Danio rerio: one gene and its partners. The protein of the gene in region 1 purifies or fractionates together with the protein of each later gene. This does not show direct contact. Links are inferred from orthologs where the notes say so. Each region holds a gene or a part of one and is shown on either strand. Other genes may lie near its edges.

The links.
Region 2: the proteins of psmg2 (region 1) and psmb7 purify together in Homo sapiens (affinity purification with mass spectrometry; 3 studies listed by BioGRID and IntAct, counting the BioPlex papers as one, with this or other methods). This does not show direct contact. The link is inferred for Danio rerio from reciprocal best matches to the Homo sapiens genes PSMG2 and PSMB7.
Region 3: the proteins of psmg2 (region 1) and psmg3 purify together in Homo sapiens (affinity purification with mass spectrometry; 4 studies listed by BioGRID and IntAct, counting the BioPlex papers as one, with this or other methods). This does not show direct contact. The link is inferred for Danio rerio from reciprocal best matches to the Homo sapiens genes PSMG2 and PSMG3.

Annotation. Positions count from the first base shown.
Region 1 is NC_133194.1:13,456,550-13,460,285, forward strand, and holds part of psmg2 (proteasome assembly chaperone 2), read left to right. Parts: intron 1-313; coding exon 314-372; intron 373-2,498; coding exon 2,499-2,617; intron 2,618-3,736. UniProt on the Homo sapiens protein: Chaperone protein which promotes assembly of the 20S proteasome as part of a heterodimer with PSMG1.
Region 2 is NC_133196.1:9,696,472-9,700,750, reverse strand, and holds the start of psmb7 (proteasome subunit beta type-7), read right to left. Parts: upstream 2,801-4,279; 5' UTR 2,705-2,800; coding exon 2,643-2,704; intron 709-2,642; coding exon 615-708; intron 537-614; coding exon 439-536; intron 352-438; coding exon 211-351; intron 1-210. UniProt on the Homo sapiens protein: Component of the 20S core proteasome complex involved in the proteolytic degradation of most intracellular proteins. This complex plays numerous essential roles within the cell by associating with different regulatory particles.
Region 3 is NC_133178.1:41,960,039-41,963,212, forward strand, and holds psmg3 (proteasome assembly chaperone 3), read left to right. Parts: upstream 1-1,304; 5' UTR 1,305-1,415; intron 1,416-1,726; 5' UTR 1,727-1,739; coding exon 1,740-1,955; intron 1,956-2,046; coding exon 2,047-2,199; 3' UTR 2,200-2,461; downstream 2,462-3,174. UniProt on the Homo sapiens protein: Chaperone protein which promotes assembly of the 20S proteasome. May cooperate with PSMG1-PSMG2 heterodimers to orchestrate the correct assembly of proteasomes.

The DNA of each region.
Region 1 (3,736 bases):
TCCAAAACTGTTTGAGATTCTTTCTTCTGATGAACACAAAAGATGTTTTGAAAAATGATGAAATCCGGTAACCAATGACTTCCATAGTGTTTGCGTTTCCTACAATGGATGTCAGTGGTTACCGGTTTCTTTCTTTGTGGTCATCATAAGAAAGAAACTCAAACAATGATAAAGATGAGTAAATGATGACATACCATTCATTTTTGGTGAACTTTTTTATCTTTAACTTGTAACCCAAATCCATGAGTATAAGCCGGTGTGCTTACTCAAACAGATGTTGCATGAGTGATGTTGTGAATTTGTTTTTGTGCAGTGTATTCTCACAGGGACTTAAAACTGGCTGTGCTGCAGATAAGGGCGCCCATCATCCAGGTTAGTGGTGTATGTTAATGCAACAAGTGTACAGGTGCAATTAAAGGCACAATATGTATGATTTTTGTTTATTAAAATAAAGGCGTGCTATCTATTTTGATCAAGATTAATACTTCAATTATCACAAAGAACTTTTAGAAGAATGTTCAAATTAAAAAAAAAACAAGCAATTTGAACTATTGTGACAAACCGTGTCATGTGTTGCCATGTGAATTACAACACGCACCCTCGATTTCTGGTTTGCTTTTATAGAAAACAGAAATAGCAAAGATGCTCTAATATGTCGTGCCTTTTATTAGACTGCAAGAAGCAGCACTTTATCAGAATCTTAAGATGTATTTCGTATGAAAAACAGCATTGCTGCTTACTCATTTGATCATGACTGGATGAACTGGAAGCGGTAGACTGTGGTATAATAAAAGCTCTGTTGTCTTTATGCTGTATCATTCTTGTCTCTCATCTGTAATTCTTCAACTCATCCATTAACAAGATTTCTGCAGAAGTCCCATAATTCCATATTCAAACTGTGCCTTTGTTTGTTCTGAACAGATGCCCTCGACGGCGAAAATTGCATACTGTGCCTTTAAGTCAGGGGTATCCAAACTCGGTCCTGGAGGGCCGGTGTCCTGCAGATTTTAGCTCCAACTTGCCTCAACACACCTGCGAGGATGTTTCTAGAAAGCCTAGTAAGAGCTTGATTAGCTAGCCCAGGTGTGTCTGATTAGGGTTGGAACTAAACTTTGCAGGACACTGGACCTCCAGGACTGAGTTTGGACATGCCTGCTTTAAGTGGTTAATCAGTGTGGAGTTTTTATTGCCATGCTGATTTTTTTGGTTCTGTCTTTTACATGTCACAGACTCTCAAATATAGCCATTACAAAATGTAAAAGCCAGTGCTATCTAGATTTTGTTTTAAGACCCCATTATAGGGATAGTTTACCCTAAAAATGAAAATTTACTCACTATTTATTTAGTCCTCCTTATGTTCCAAACCTGTTTAAATTTCTTCTGCTGAACACAAAAGCAGACATTTTGAAGAAAGCTGAAAACCTGTAACCACTAACTTCCATAGTAGAGAAACACAAACACTTTGTCAATGGTTACAGGTTTTCAGCATTCTTCAAAATATCTGATTTGTGTTCAACCGAAGAAAGAAACTCAAACAGCGATGCATTTCCCAAACAACAATGTAACTCGCGGCTGAACTATCATAGTACGATGCATCGTTTGAGAAAAGAACAATGTAGTGACAGGTGTTTTCCAAAACCCTTTGTTTCTCTGTCGCAGATCCATCGCTTGAACCATGTTAGTTATTACGTTAAACGCCCACAATGATGCTCTAAACTGGGCGGAGTAACTACTTCATTAAAGAAAACCCCATATTTTACACGCACACGCATTTACACAATTGTAAAGATGAAGATCACTATAACTGAACTGTAAAAACACTTTGAAAGCAAATTACACCTAAGAGAGATGACCTTAATGCTTTTTTATTTTTAATAATTCCAACTTTGAAAGTTAAAATGTTCTAAATGTAAAGGGCATAGGGGGGATAAGTGGGAATAGAAGACAGCCAGGAACTATTTTTCTAACTACAGCTCCAGAGGTGTAGTTGCAAGCGCAGAAGTTTGCGACGCAGTTTGCGAATGTTCGTTGGAGCGACGTATTTGGGATATGGCAAATTAACAAACCCTGTTTGTAACGACGGAACTTGCGACCTTAGTTGGCTAACGATGGTTTTGGGAAACCCAATGTTTGGAAAAAGTGAAGTTTGGAAAAATGATAACAAAATGTCATTTTTTTGGGTGAATCTCTTTTTTACTATTATATTAATTATACAATATGCAGTTTAATATTAACAAATAATAATACAATATAAATAATACGATGAACCTGCCTATATTTTGTCAATATTACATTGCTCAATTGTTACTCCCTTACCAAAGTACTGTCAACTGTCTTGTCAAATTGTATCTAAACTAACTTACATTTAAATCTCGCTGATGACACAATAATAGTCACACCGATAACTAAAAAATGCCAAATATCTGCTGGTACATACTGTAAACACTGACAATTTAACAGTCGATTACTAATACAGTCAGTTTTTATTTTTATCTTAGACAAAAGTGAAATCATTCCGAAAGCTGATGATCTCCTGGATGAAGAGCAGTGGATTCCTCAGAACTGTGCTGCTGTCCAGTGCACATGCTTATCAGAGAGATGACCAACAGCTTCATGGGTAATGAAATACTGATGGCCTGATACGCAGAATGTAATTTATATAATGTAAATGAATGGCAAGTATGTGCGGTGCAACATTTGAAGACTAAAGCTGTAAAATAAACACTAAAACTGTGTTATCAATCATCATGTGATTAATTTTAAGGAAAGAAAGCTTTACTTTAAAATGTTTCAAATTCTATATTTTTTTATACAACAAAATGTTTTAAAATCTAAAAACAAAATGAATATTTAAGTCAGGGGTGCTCAACCCTGTTCCTGGAGATCTACCTTTCTACAGATTTCAGTTGTAACCCGTATCAAACACACCTGCCTGTAGTTATCAAGTGCTGTTCAGGTCCTAATTAATTGGTTCAGGTGTGTTTGATCAGGGTTGGAGCTGAACTTTGCAGGAAGGTAGATCTCCAGGAAGAGGGTTGAGCAGCCCTGATTTAAGTCATTCATTTACAGGACAATGGTGTGTTGATTTTTGAAAAAGGGTTTTCAAGATGCAAGTTTTTGTAAACCGTTATGCTATTGTTTCTGTGTATATTATGAAAATGTGATTTTGTGAACCAGGTAACATTATTGCACATAATGAGGAACTACAGGGCAATATGTGTGCAGGGGTGTAGTTTTTTTATTTTTTTTTTTTTTTTTTTACGTTGCTACTGATCGGGATTCTAGAATACATTTTTAGTCATTTTTTTGTAAATGTGTGTGTGTGTGTGTGTGTGTGTGTGTGTGTGTGAGCACTATTTTTGAGTTTTATACACACCTGCTAGAGACTCAACTGACTGGACACATTCAATGACTACCAAAAAGCTTAAAGGAACAGTTCACCTAAAATTGTCCTCACCATTTACTCGCACTCAACATTTATTAGGGTATCCGTGGGGATTTAAAAAAAATCTTAAAATGTTTTACATGTCAAAAACTAAATTTTAGACTTTGGAAAAAGTTTTAAATTCACTGAAATATTGTCTTGTAGGTCTTAAATAATTTGAAACGGATCTTAATCCTTCATTGTTTATTTAAAGCTACCCAATCGATCCAACACAATCACAAAGCTACCCAATCATCAACAATTCATCTCAATAAAACTTTTAGCAAAACTATATTCATAACTAATTGTAAT
Region 2 (4,279 bases), on another chromosome or scaffold:
CAGTCATTTCAGTTTAAAGGCCATAAAAAGAACACGTATACTTTCCATTAAAGTGAAATTACTGAACCTACACACAAAATGCTCGTTTTAGACAAAAAAAAAATACAAATCAGAAGGCACTAAGAGGTTTTTGCTTTTAAACTCTTCATTTAAACATCAGAATTCTACATTTAAGATCTATATTGCACACGCAGAATAGGTGTTTGTCACCTGAAGAGCATCTGTTTGAGCATGCGGTTTGCTGTGGCGACTCGTGGCAGACGACCGGTGGACAGAGAATGAAGCTCCAGGTTGGAGGAGATGATCTGTGTGGTCATCTCAGTGTCCGCCGCTGTACCTGCTCCACAACAGCTATGCAACAAATCAGAAAAACATGCAGTGTCATTTGATGTCAGGGATCAAAAACTACAAGCATGCATGACGTGAGTTTATACTCACTAAATGTTGGGAGAGATGTAGTGAATTTTAGAGCAGTTCTTATCAGCGACGATCATTCCTTCAGTTGCACGAGTGTCTGCACCTAAAACAACACCATCCTGAGACAGAAGTGAGACGTGAGTATCTAGTCAAACCTTGGATTTCACACATTAAATTCAACTGTTTTTTTTTCTTACCTTATAAACAATCCCACAGATAGTGGTTCCGGTTTTACGGGCAGCAGGAGAGCTGAAACCCAGTTTAGTGATGTCTGCCTCCAGAAGAGCATTTCTAAAATAGCACAAAGGTTTTATTTTGTTATTTAATCTCTGCTATTTTCTTATGGGTGTTATGCAACAATATGTTTTAGAAATCAATAGTATACAGAAGAATGTCAATAACAAATTCTAAAATCTAAGATCTTTTGACAACTAGTTGACACTTTGCACTTATCACCACTTATTGATTCACACTTATACTGTACATATAAGCATGGTCTGGTATAAGATTCTGACGGTAAGACAACCTTGGATGAAAGTTTTATGGTTTGACAGTATTGTGATTGCTGCTCTAAAATATATTATTTTTAAATGTCTGGGTAAAAAAAAAAAAAAAAAAAAAAAAAAAAACTAAAATTCCTCTTTTGAACACAATTTTGTTGTATTTTGAAAAGGAAATAAAAATAACGGTATAGCAGAAAATGCCGGTGGTTTTAAAACCTTGACTTTTCCAAAGCACGGTAAACCTTGAAAATGGTAATCATTCTATGCCTATGTACATATGTATCTTTGTGTTGTTCATAAAAACAATAAAAAACTTTAGACACAAACAATAAGTGAATTATTTGATTTAGCAGCTACTAAAAGACTCTTTTTATTCATTATACTAATCTGCTCATAAGACATTAAACAGAAATGATTTAACAAATTAAAAATAAACAAAACTTAAGTTCATTTAGATTTTTGTGTACAAACCTGGTACAAACACATGACATCGGGGCTGCAGAGTGTCAGTGTAAAAAAACACTACTAGTAAACTAAAAAAAATAAAAATAAATAAAAAAAATACATTACAAAATTACAAAAAAACTAAATTGTATATTTTATAAATAATATATACATTAGTTTGTGTTTTTACGCAATTAAACGGATTCAAAAGAGCTGGAGCTAATTAAACTGTGTTCAAAATTTTCCTGAGTCATTCACACGGGCCATAACTAAATGGTTCATAATAAAAAAGATGGGTTTGCTCAGCTCTCTATCTTACAAAAATCTGCTCTAAAATGGATAATATCCAACATTAACAAGCAGAAAGCCACTAGTTTTTCCAGTCAGCAAATGTACAACAAGCATTATGTTTTACATTCACGTTGACTGTATGGATCAGATACAGATCTCCTGCTTTCTCACCACTCCTTTATTCACATATATAAATATTCCGGTTTATAAAAGAAACTAAGTCGGGTTAAAGGAAATAATATAAAAGAAATCATAATTTAAAAGACGTACAATAACTTAAGTATTGGATTCATCTGTTCCAAAAAGACCCACCTGTATATGCAACTTAACCTTTCCGTTGAGTAAGTTTTAAATACAAATCAAATGGTTTTTTGACTTAAAATGTATTTATATATGAATGAAACTCACTTTAATTTACACTTTAAAAGTCAGTTTGGTGTAACGTTAATTGAGATACAGACTGTGTGGACGGGGTCCGCAGCCCACCAATAACAAAACATGAACAATGATTTTGTGTTTTACCTTTTAAAACATCAAACTCAAACCGCACCGTGTATTGATTAAATAAAAAAATGTTTTAGGCCAGAACAGAATGAAAAACAAATTAATCCACAGTTTACATGCTCATTTTTGTTGTGAACTTGCATACACACTTTAGGTGTGGGGTCCGCAGTCCAACAATGACAACACATTATCAACACTAACAAAAAAACGTACTCTTTCATATTAATAAACATATATATTTATATATTTTTTTATTTCACACAGAACGCAATGCTAATCATAATGTGTTTTACTTATTAAATCCGCTATTCAAATAAGCTTGAGCAAATTCTCCTGAGTCATTCACACAGGCCGTGGCTCAACCGATCATTAAAATGCCGTTAAACTTGTTTTAAACTCTCGGGCTTTTCGACGAATTAAAAACACAATAATTATCCAACGTCCCCGGCATAATAACAAATGATACAGACGCTTAAAACTCACCTCCTACAGTTTTCGAAACTGAAACCGCCGGGCTGGTACTGGCACACTGAGACGGTCGCCATGATTCTGCGGTCTCGCTTCCGGGAAGCGCTAGACTAGTTTCCCTCTGTGTCACACGTTAGAGCTTCCGCGCTCCGCCTCACATCTATAGGATAAGCAGTGTAGGAACCTATAGAGTAGGAATATATACCGTGTAACACGTGTCTCTGCTTCAGGCGCTCCCGCCAGATCATCCGCATATAGTTTTTATCGAAAGAGTTTACACGACAAAGAAATGTACACATTATAAGCCATTATAAAACGGATGATTTCTCTACTGAAAATAAAAGAGTTGGTTTTGAGTTGTCACGCTTTTATTTCATGGAATATTCTTCTGGATAGGCTTGTTCTCAAATTACATTTGTGTACAGTAAACCTAAACCTGCATATTACCCATTTTATTTCCATAAAGAAGCTATCAAACTGGAGTAAGTTGGTTAGAATCATTGTGAGACAATAATTATTTGCAGTAAAAAAATAAATAAACATCTTTAAAATTGTTTTTATCCCCCTTTTCTTTTTTCTCAGAACTGAGATCATGGTTTTAGAAATACTTGTGTAATATATGCCAAAATATATCTACAAATAACATTTAATATTTGAATATCTATTACCTCCAAGTCCGAGGCCATAGGGCTCCACCGGGAAAATGAGGTTTGCAATATATCCAGGTTGGAGGAAAGTCCTTACCCCATGTGGAGAAGTTGAAGTATTGGGTTTTGTTCCTGAGTGAAGGAAGGATGGAATGTGAGATTGGCAGGCGGATTGGTGCAGCAGCAGCAGTAATGTGGTCCATTGTTGTTAAGAAGGAGCTGAGTTGAGAGGCAAATCTTTACCGGTCAATCTACGTTCCATCACTTATGGTCATGAGCTTTGGGTCATGACCGAAAGGACAAGATCTCGGATACAAGCGGCTGAAATGAGTTTCCTTCTCAAGGTGACAGGGCGCACCCCTATAGATAGAATGAGGAGCTCTGTCACCCGAGAGGAGCTCGGAGTAGAGCCTCTGCTCCTCCACATTGAGAGAAGTCAGCTGAGGTGGCTCTGTTTCGAATGCCTCCTGGACGCCTACCTAGGGAGGTGTTCCAGACATGTCCCACCGGAATTAAGGAGGCCTCAGGGAAGACCCAGGACACGCTGGAGGGTTCTTTCCTAAAACTACTGCCCTCGCGACTCGCCCCAGGAAAATCTTGAAAATGAATGAATGATTTTATTTTTGGAGGTGACTAAATTATTGGTGGGAGCATTTTAATAATCTGTGGATAATGGTGGTGACATGTACCCTCAGTCCATGCTAATTCTACACCCTTGATCTAAAGCACAGGTGTCAAACTCAGTTCCAAAAGGGCCGCAGCTCTGCACAGTTTAGTTCCAACTCTAATTAAACAGACCTGATCAAACTAATTGAGTCCTTCAGGCTTGTTTGAAACCTACAGGTAAGTGTGTTCGAGCAGGGTTGGAACTAAACTGTGCAGGGCTTCGGCCCTCCAGGAATTGAGTTTGACACCGCTGCTCTAAAGACATGCGGTAGCTATAGGTGAATTGAACTAAATCGGCCATAGTGTGAATAAATGATTGGATGTTTCTGGCTGGAAGGG
Region 3 (3,174 bases), on another chromosome or scaffold:
TCAGCTAAGAACAGGAAACTGAGGCTACAATTCACACAGGTTCACCAAAATTGGACAATAGAAGATTGGAAAAATGTTGCCTGGTCTGATGAGTCCCGATTTATGCTGCGACATTCGGATGGTAGGGTCAGAATTTAGCATCAACAACATGAAAGCATAGATCCATCCTGCCTTGCATCAACGGTTCAGGCAGGTGCTGCTGGTGTAATGGTGTGGGGAATGTTTTTTGGCACACTTTGGGCCCAAAGGTACCAATTGAGCATTGTGTCAATGCCACAGCCTACCTGGTTATTGTTGCTGACCATGTTCATCTTTTTATGAACACAGTGTACCCATCTTCTGATGGCTACTTATATGGTGCCATGTCATAAAGTGCGAATCATCTCAGACTGGTTTCTTGAACATGATAATGAATTCACTGTACTCCACTGACCTCCACAGTCACCATATCTCAATCCAATAGAGCACCTTTGAAATGTGGTGGAACGGGAGATTTGCATCATGGATGACAAATCTGCAGCAACTGCGTGATGCAATCATGCCAATATAGACCAAAAACTCTGAGAAATATTTCCAGAAGCTTGCTGAATCTGTGCCATGAAGGATTAAAGCAGTTCTGAAGGTGAAAGTGGGTCCAACCCGGTATTAGAAACATACCTAATACAGTTGCCAGTGACTGTTAAAAATGTCATACAAAATTCAGTATTTTTTTCTTGTCTCACTCATCTATACTTTTTTTATTTAAAATATAATCAATTGCATTTAAAAGTATAGATTTTTAAGTCACTGATGCTGACTGTTTTATTAAATACAAATTCAAACAGACATAGTATTACAGAAATAGTCATTATAAATAAAATAAAAAACTCCCTTTAATGATAAAGTTGAATTTTCAGCAGCCAGTGTCAAATGATCCTCCTATTACATCACGTATTGGTACTCAGAAAACATTATTTAACATAATTAAGTAAACTATTTTTGAGGAATTTGTTTTACTTTTCTTGATGAATAAACTGTTCAAAAGAACAGCATTTATTTTGAAGTAAAAACAAATTATAAATAACTTTGTAACAATAAAAGTCCTGCCATGCATGTTTGATCATTGTATTGCTTATCTGAACAAATGTGTACGTTTCCCTTTATGTTTGATTGCCATAAATATAATGCTAAAATAACTACGATTTAATGTTGATAAAATATAAATATACAATGACATAAAACTGTCATCCATGCAACAAAAGTCAACGGACCGTTCCTCTCTGTCTCTCTCCTCCTCTCGTTCAACATCTTTCCCCTTTGTCATTGTATGCGTAGAAGAAGATCACCCACGTTTCAGTGTTCGCCGAGGGATGTTCATAAACTGAATTCCATCGACTTAACAGGATAGTTTACTAGCCCCCGTCAATAAGTTACAGGTGAGAAATTGCTGTTAACTGTACGCTGTTCTGTCTAAGAAACTGTGTGCTGTTTTTAGCATTCTGTAAGGCTAACTTATAGAGACTATGAGCCTCGGTGTTTCCTGGATTACACACCGCGTTTGATAAGCCGAACGCCGCGACGTCATGCGGCCTAGTCTCGCTTTAGCACCGAATTAGCATCAAGACTAAATCTTTCCGCAGAGCTTTCTGTTTGCTTATAACTTCCAGTAATTCGATTGTTAATAAGTATTATCATATGAATCTCATGATTATTATGCTTGGTGGCTCTTACTCTTATTTATTTTCAGGTGAAATTAAATAATGGCCCCTCAACCAGTCATCCGATCAAAACAGGCAGAAAAAACAATAAACGGAAACCAAACTCAAGTTGTTTGCACGGAATTCAGCAACTACATATTTATCGTTCTGACACAGTATGGTAAAATTGGAACACTTGTGTCTATAACGCCTGACACGAGGTCCGGTGACATCAGTGTACCAATGTACACTAGCAAAGTCCTGCTGGGGAAAGATGAGGTACTGAAGTGTGCTTTCTGTTTGATAACTATCAGCATAACAGATAAAGTCGTGTTTGTGATTCACCTTGTCATTTCTGTCTCCTTTGCAGCCTCTTACACACGTCTACGCCAAGAATGTTGCAACGTTTGTCTCACAGGAATCAGGCAACCGACCAATCCTGTTGGGCCTTTCACTGAAAGACAACAGTGCTGAAACTATGAAAACTGTTAAAGATATGATCAAAAGCTGCCAGGTTTGGTAAACAGAAGGTCACATGGCGAGCACACTATTTTTGTTTTGGAGTATCTGTGTGATTTATACATCATAAATCTTTACTTGTCTTTGGTGAGTTTACAGGATGCTTGAGCAGATGGTGATCTTAAGTGCTCATGCTATACTTGAACACTACTCAGCACTTGATTCTTAATATAAAAACGTGAGAGAATTGTTCAGTTTCACTTCTATTTTTCCAGATAATAATGGATGTCTTTAAGTTGTCACAAGAATAAATTTATATTTTCTTATCTTTGGTTATTTTTGGTGCTCATTTAAATGATTCATACCAGTTCTAAAACATTTGGAAAAGGACCTGCAATGTTAGCCTCACATATACTGTCTGCTAAACAGTTATTGAATTCAGTGTTCACTGAAATGTTCAGCTACTTTAATCCATATTTTCCCCATATGATTTTAATTTAGTTACAATCCAGAGTTGACTTTTTTATTTGAAATAAATATAAGCTAAAATTAAGTTTATAAACTGAGTATAAATATACAAACTGAAATCATTTTGTTCATTTCTGTCATTCTTCTACACAGAGGGCTATTTTACATTTTGAGGGCCTGAAAACAAATTTTTGAAGTGGAGATTTATGAATACGATGAGGCCTTGCATATTACTTGACAACCAAAACAACAGTGGTGGCTTACACAGCTGGATGTGCACAGGCGTGTATGTTTAGTGTTTCTACACCGTGCCATTGTCAGCTTAATGCACATACAGTTGAAGTTATTATTATTAGCCCTCCTGAATCATTAGCCCCCCTGTTTATTTTTCTCCCAATTTCTGTTTAACGGAGAGAGGATTTTTTTTTCAACACATTTCTAAACATAACAGTTTTAATAACTGATTTATTTTTATTTATTCTAGCCGAAATAAAACAAATAAGACTTTCTCCAGAAGAAAAAGATATTATCAGACATACTGTGAAAATGTCCTTGCTTTGTTAAACTTATT